Mus musculus: one gene and its partner. The protein of the gene in region 1 purifies or fractionates together with the protein of each later gene. This does not show direct contact. Links are inferred from orthologs where the notes say so. Each region holds a gene or a part of one and is shown on either strand. Other genes may lie near its edges.

Region 1 (4,071 bases):
TCAAATGTAAATGCAGAAATGAGTTTAATTCTAGGTGGTGGAAATATGGGGTGTGTGTGACTATTTTTTTTTTCATCTTTTTCAGTGTTTTAAAATATCTAGGGCTGGTGAGATAGCTCGGTCAGAAGGTAGGTAAACACACTTGCCTCGAAGCCTGACAACCTAAGACGCCCCCACAGGGTGGAACAAAAGAACTTATTCATCAGGCAAGTTGTCCTCTGACCTCCACGGCCCGCCCCCGCCCGTTCCCCACTCCCAAACAAATAAATAAAGTAAACGTAAAAGTCTGTATGGGCATATTAACATGCAAAGATACTTAAAAATAAAGTCTGGTTAAAAACAAAAGCAAAACAGAAAATAAATCAAAAGTATAGTGAAAAACCAGCCAGCTGTATATCTCTATGTGTTACTGTGTTAATATTTATATACCAACCCATTCACAATATGAACAAAACTATTTTCTATGGAGATAAACATTGACAGCAAAAGAGCAGAAAGGATGTACAATCAGCCAATAATGCTGGGTACTAGGAAACTAGAGCAAGTCAAAGCTCGAAGAATCTTATTTTGAATATTACAAAGAATATATTTTATCTGCAAAGTTTTAAAATTGTTTGTGTACTAAAAATTTAAACACGTAAATTTTCAGATAGAACTCTGCAGACCTGGGGTTACAGTTCAGCTCTGAGAGCTTGGTGAAAGTTACTGACAGAACCAGACATCGAATTCGGGTTTTTGAGTGTCTGAGTGGCTTAACCTGACACCTTAACCAACTGACTCAGAACGCAAAATAAACTATCCTTTGCTTTAAAACTTATTTGGAACAAGCTTGCATCTAAATACTTTTATTTCAATAAGTGGCATGATGATAATATTGTTTATGGCAATTTCTATCGGCAGGAAATAAAATAAATAAATATAACTCCAAGAATCGAAAGAAAATATACGTGTCAATCCAATAAGTAGCTTCTTAGAAAACGACGTCAACAGCTGGGTAGTGTGGCCGAGCGGTCTAAGGCGCTGGATTAAGGCTCCAGTCTCTTCGGGGGCGTGGGTTCGAATCCCACCGCTGCCAAGGCAGGCTTTTTCTTTTGTCTCAGCGTCTTTCGCTCTAGGTTCCTTCTGCGAGCGCAGCGGCGACCCCTGCTGTCGATGTGCGCTCTCTGCACCACGAGCAGCTCGCCGAAGGGGCGGTCCCGCGCGCGCCGGGGCGGGGCATTGTGGGTAAGAGGAAGCGCGAGGGCCGGCCCCGCTCCCCCCACGTGTCCGGCGGAGTTTCTCCAGCAGGAACATGGCCGCTGCCTGATAGAAGACCCGGCCGCCGCCGTCTCTGCAGCCCGCGGGTCCCTGGGCCGTTCCGCCGCCCGCGCGCGGCCCCGGCGGAGAGGTGAGCCCCGACTCGGCAGCCTCGGGATCCGGGTCGCAGCCGTCGCACTCGCTCGGTGCTCCGGGCCGCGCTGCTGACTAGGCCAGACAGGCCCCCGCCGCTGCGTGCCGAGGGGCCGCGGCCTCCCGGGACCAGGGCAGGGCGCAAGGTGGCCGCCCGGCTTTCCAGGCCGCCCCGGGCCTGGGTCGCTCCGTTCGGCTGGACGGTGGGGAGACGACGGCGGTGCGGCCCGCGCTGACTCAGGCTTCGGCCGCGCTGCCCCGCCCGGGCCTGGCTCCCGAACCGCACCTGCGAGGGCACTGGTGCCCGGTGGCGTGGCGGCTTTCGGAAGAGTGGGAAGGGCGCCTGAGCACCGGCGACATGGAGAAAGCCACTGGACTCGGGGCCGCCTGCATGGGCAGGGGTCGTTGAACCTGGTCAACTCTGCTTAGCCCGAGCGGGCCCGGGACGCCTCATTCATTGATCTGTGTTTAAGCAGAGTGGCGACTGCTTCGTGGACCCGGGGACCTTCCAGTAACGGGGGATGGTGCACATACCGGGTCATCCTGGAATATTGTTTTAGAGTTCCTGGGTTTGGGAGCGAAAAGATAAGATCATACCTTTATCTGTGAAATGGGGATATGATTCCCGTGCTACGGTGTTTTAATGAGTGTAAGATGGGTGACACTCCTGCTTCTTTCATTTGTGGCTGTCTTGTTCGGTCTTATATTGGAAGAAAACATGTTGCCACGTAGCAACAGTCCTTCTAGGTTCGCCTTATCCCTTTGAAGCCGGTGTGTGGTTTAAAATAGGAAAGGACCCAGGGTTATGCAATTCACGTCGCTAATCAGCTGCTATATTGAAGAGGTAGGATTTGAACCTGTAAGGTTTTGCACGGCAGTCCAACCTCTTAACCACTACACCATACTGCCTTTTACCAAAGAGATGTGCAGCATGTTAGTTAAGAATAAAACCAAGGCTCTTGGCATCAGCTAGATTTGGATTTCTTTACCTGTTTTCTTGGGGGGCTGTGACCTTGGGTAAACCAATTCGAAGTTGGGCACTATAAATTTTGATTTGCACAGCTAATGAGAAGAGTATTATTTGGTACTATATTGATGCCTGGCATCATTAATATTTGGGAGAAAGAACTGTGATTTTTTTTTTTTAATTTTAAAAGTAATGATCCCATAACCACGACCAAGTATAATTATTATCTCCACTTAATGGTCCAGGAATGTGAAGCATAGAGAAGCCTTCGTAGAGTTTAAAGTCTAGTACAGAGGACAGCTAACACCTGACCAGCAAGCAGATCAGGAAGTTCCAGCTTAGGACCATTCAGGAAATAAGGAATTATGCTTGTAATGGAAGGGGCTGGAAGCGGCTGTTTCAGTTGAGTTGTCAGGGAACACGTCTAATCCTGGAAGGACTGGCAGTGGTTACATATAAGGAAAATGAGCATCCAGAAAATGACTTGGTGAGCCGGGCAGTGGTGGCTCATGCCTTTAATCCCAGCACTTGGGAGGCAGAGGCAGGTGGATTTCTGAGTTCGAGGCCAGCCTGGTCTGCAGAGTGAGTTCCAGGACAACCAGGGCTATACAGAGAAACCCTTGTCTTGAAAAACCAGAAAAAAAAAAAAGAAAATGACCTGGGATTGTTGTGCAGAGTGTCCTCAAGGATGCTTGGGGCTTGGCCTGTTAGAAGTTCAGTAATTGGTCACTAGGCCATGAGGAGATGCTTATGTGGAGACAGGGGTAAGATCGTGTAAGGGCTTAGGGGTCCATGGAAGGATTTGTTTTATGGGACAGTTGGAGGGTTGGGAGCAAGGCAGCAATGCTATAGTAGCATTGCTACTGACAGTCACAAAGAATGGCAGTCTCTTGAGCATTGGAGATAGGAGGGTGGAGCTAGGGAAGCCTTTTTGTTTGTTTTGTGTCTGTAACTTTTTTTTCCAGATGAGGCTTTGCTATGTTATAGCCCAGGATGGCCTCAAACTTGTTATCTTCCTCCCTCAGCCTCCCAAGTGCTGGAATTATAGGCATGGGTCACCACAGCTTGCTTTGGAAGCTTGGATTGTTGACAGGTCAAGTTTCATTAGTGAGTGTTGTAAAATTGGGTTGGGGGGTCTTGCTACCAGCATTTTTATTTTGCAAGGGCAAGGATGGAAAACATCACTGTGTGGCATGTAACAGTCATGCTACACAAAACACTGCTTCAGCTGTGGCATTTCCATGTATCTTCTGCATCATTGATGGGAAAATATTATTGTTGGTCATAGGCTAAACCTTTAAAAGCCACTGAATTGGATACAGTTGTCTGGGAGGCTAAAGGGAGGTGATGACCTTTGCAGGTAACTCAATCGGGTGCCGTGTTGAGAGAGAGAGAGAGAGGAGCCTCTATCATCCAGAGGGATCTCATTCTGCCTGATGGCAGGGCTGGGCAGAATTTCAGCCCTGGAAGAATAGTTGGGAACCATAGCCTCTTTTTGCATGTGTTATGTTTCCTTGGTTCCCCCTGAAATCCTGTCTTAATGGGCCACCAAGTACAGCTGCCTGTAGAGCCAGTACCTGCTTAACACATATCTGTGACACTCAGTAGCCAGTGCAGATGCACAGTGGCAACCATGTAGGACTGTGCCTGCCGTGTCCTGATGTGCTGTGATGGCCCATTTCCCACCGGCTGCCTCTTTCCCTGGTCCAGACCTT
Region 2 (3,518 bases), on another chromosome or scaffold:
CCGCGAGGCGCCTGCTTTTCTGTATCCTTTGCAGGGCACTGCCCACACTGCCTTTACATCAGAAGCTCCCTGGGGAGCTAGAGGTGATGTCTTCATCACCTCTGCATCCTCGACAGGTGCAGTGGTGAGCACTGCTAGATTTGCACAATGAAGGCTTCCTGCTACAGGGCAATCTTAGCTAAAGGAACATGTGTCCCAGAACACTCAGCAAACTGGAAATGTCTTGTACCTGTGATGTCCCCGTGCTAACTGGGAGCCACAGACAGGCCCCTGAGCATCTGAGGTATCTCTAGTATTGGTGTGTGTGTGTATGTATGTGTGCGTGCTTTCTTTTCCTTTGTTTGGGTAGGTGTTTTTTGTTGTAGTGGTGGTTGTTTGGGGTTTACTGTTATTGTTTTTGAGATGGTGCCTCACTGTGTAGTCAAGGCTCTCCTGGAACTCCTTATGTAGACCAGGTTGGCCTTGGAGTCACAGAGATCAACACACCTCTGGTTCCTGAGTGCTGGGGTTAAAGGTGTGCACTGCCTCACAGGGCTGATTTAATGGCCACATGTAGCCAATGAGTGCCATAACAGAGACTATCCTTAGGCCACTAGGACCACATATCCCCCTGAAGGTGGCTTTACTCAAGGAGCCAAGAGTGCAGCCAGGCTGAAGAAAGGTCTATAGCTGAGGATGGCTGAGGTCAACCTTGACTGTACATAAGACCCTTTACCGAGGCAGACACTGCAGTCAACTTTACCCAGGGCTGTATGAACCCGTGGTAGGGATGCTCACAGCCCTATGCAGGCCTCCCCAGCCCCATGGGAGAATGTTCTGCTGTTGCTGTGTTTTTCCTTCTCCCTAGTCCATCCTGCAGCACCCACGCGCCCCATACCAACAGTTTCCCTTAGGCTTGGGTCTCCCACTAGAGTTCCACTAACACCCTGCCTCCTCTGGATGGGCTGAGCTCACTGGCCGGCCATCCAAATTTAGAAAAACAACATGCTCTTCAGTTTCCTAGCGCCCAGAGCCACCGTTGCTCCAGACTTTCCCAAGTGAGGGGCCTGCTTACTGGGCTGGGCTGGCCAGCCTCCCTCCCATCAGCGTAAGCTAGAAGGAGCTGTTGCAGCCTTGCCTGAATTCACTCTTATTTTGTTTGACCAACTGACAGGAATTCTCTGAACTCAGGTAATCACATGTACTGGGCTCCACCCCAGACCTCTTTTCATTCTTTATCTTGGGGCAGCGTCTTGCTAGTTGCCCAGACTAGCCTAGAACTCACTCGGTAGTCCAGGTAGGCCCGTGAACCCATGATCCTCCTGTGTCTTTTTTGTTTGTTTGTTTTGTTGTTGTTTGTTTTTTGTTTTTCGAGACACGGTTTCTCTGTATAGCCCTGGCTGTCCTAAAACTCACTTTGTAGACCAGGCTGGCCTTGAACTCAGAAACCCGCCTGCCCCTGCCTCCCGAGTGCTGGGATTAAAGGCGTGCGCCACCACGCCCGGCTGACCAGGGTTCTTACTGTCACTTCTCATGTCACTTCTTACATTTTCCCACAGGTGCCCTAAAGCACTGCACAAGTCCTGACACACCAGGGCTGGGCAGGACCAGCAGCTTGGGCTCACTGTGGTGAACTGACAGACACGACGGCCAAAGGGCAGCACTTACGCGATCTGAAGAGCCCGGGTGCCCAGCACCCGGGCCCGCTCATACTTGGTCATGTAAGGAGTGGTGATCCGCTTCTGGTTGGCCTGTGGTCGCTCACCAGATGGGAGAATCTCGACATTTTCCTGGCCCTCCTGGATAGCAAGCAAACAAAGAGGGGAAATCTCAGGGCAAGTTTTGGATCAGGTAGGACGATGATGACACAGAGACTTCCCACCACCCTCAACCCTTTCTGGATGTCATGGACCGTGCAACCACTCACTGACACCACGCAATCCTTAACCGCATGCAACCTTGTAAGGTAAGGATTGTGGTCCCCAATCCAGGGGCTTCAAGAGTCAGCCAACCTGACCAAAACCTCCAAGCTAGCAGTAAAGATGACGGTGTTCAGAACTCTAGAGCCAGCCGCCTTGCCCAAACAGCTGGCCCTGTAAGTGGTGAGCACACCCTGAACCGGAAGCTCAGGACAAACACCTGCTCTTTCATATGGCAAATGAGTCACTGGGTCAGGTGACTAGAACAGTCATGGTAAATGAGAGTCAAACACATACTGAGCAAGAACCTGCTGTCCTCTGCTCTATTTAGGCGAGAGAGAGAGAGAGAGAGAGAGAGAGAGAGAGAGAGAGAGAGAGAGAGAGAGAGAGAGAGAGAGAGAGAACACACGAGACCATGGGTTTCATCCCCTGCAGCACGCATGCACAAACGCACACAGGAATAATGGTGATCTGACACAAAGCAAAGAGTTTCTGATAGCAATGGCGGCTGCCAGAGAACTGCGCAGCTCATGATCCGTTTACATGATTCTAAAACCAAGACTTAAGGGTTAGGGTTTGCCTCATAGAGTAACCTGCTTGCTACCTAAACTGGAGAACCTAAATTTGGGTCTTAGCCTCCATGTAGAAGTCTGGGTCTGTAGCAGTGTGCTACAGGCATAGCCACAGAACTAGTGGTAGAGTCAGAAGGGTTTCTGGGGCTTGCTGGCTGACAGCCTAATTGAAGCACTGAGCCTCAAGTTTAGAGAGACCCTGTCTTGAAAAATAAGATGGAGAAGGAGAGAGGATGACCTCTGACCTCCACATGCATTGCACAGGTAAGTGCGCCTGCATACAGCACACGTGCACATGCATAAAAATACATAAAAAAAAAAAAGTAATTGTTTGCTGTGTGCTTACTACATGCTGAACCGTATTTAGGATACAGTAGTGAATAAAACGGACCAAAGTTACTTCTACCTGTGCCTTTAATCCTAGCACTCAGGTGGCAGAGGAAGGCTGATTTCTCGTGAGCTACAAGCCAGTCTGGCTTAAATAGTAAGTTCCAGGCTCTATACTAAGATCCACCACCACCAAACCATACATAAGACGACACGATTATCCCAAGACCTAGTTGAGGTGGCACTCAGACAAAGGCCCGGAGCAGATCCATGGAATTGCATTCCTGGAAAGTGAACAGGGAAAGCCCTTGGTGAACGCTGCCCGTCCCTTGTCCGGGCTGCAGGGCAGAGGCCGAGGCTGGCTACTGACCTCCTCAGCATTTTCCAAGTCGTCAAGTCCTTCGTCCTCCTCAACGTCATCAAAGTCGTCGCCGTCGAAACTGCCAGAAGAAACTGGTGGTTAGAGCATCACCGGCCAGAACCAGAGATACAGCCCATGTCTCAGCAGTGTCGGACAAGGGGCCGGCAAATCTCAACAAGGGAACCAAACTCTGGAGGGTCACTCTGTGCCTCCAATCATGTGCCATGTGTCCCCACAGTTTGCTAGGACACCTTCACTGTGGTTTCCTTCTCTGTGAACCACGCCAGTTACATGTACACATGGACTGTTCTGGTCCGGGGACTGTGTGTTTAAGGTTTATTTTATCTGTGTGTTTGTGTA

The links.
Region 2: the proteins of Polr3e (region 1) and Polr2f purify together in Homo sapiens (affinity purification with mass spectrometry; 4 studies listed by BioGRID and IntAct, with this or other methods). This does not show direct contact. The link is inferred for Mus musculus from reciprocal best matches to the Homo sapiens genes POLR3E and POLR2F.

The regions. Positions count from the first base shown.
Region 1 is NC_000073.6:120,916,524-120,920,594, forward strand, and holds the start of Polr3e (DNA-directed RNA polymerase III subunit RPC5), read left to right. Parts: upstream 1-1,254; 5' UTR 1,255-1,387; intron 1,388-4,071. UniProt on the Homo sapiens protein: DNA-dependent RNA polymerase catalyzes the transcription of DNA into RNA using the four ribonucleoside triphosphates as substrates.
Region 2 is NC_000081.6:79,144,313-79,147,830, reverse strand, and holds part of Polr2f (DNA-directed RNA polymerases I, II, and III subunit RPABC2), read right to left. Parts: intron 3,238-3,518; coding exon 3,168-3,237; intron 1,779-3,167; coding exon 1,648-1,778; intron 1-1,647. UniProt on the Homo sapiens protein: DNA-dependent RNA polymerase catalyzes the transcription of DNA into RNA using the four ribonucleoside triphosphates as substrates.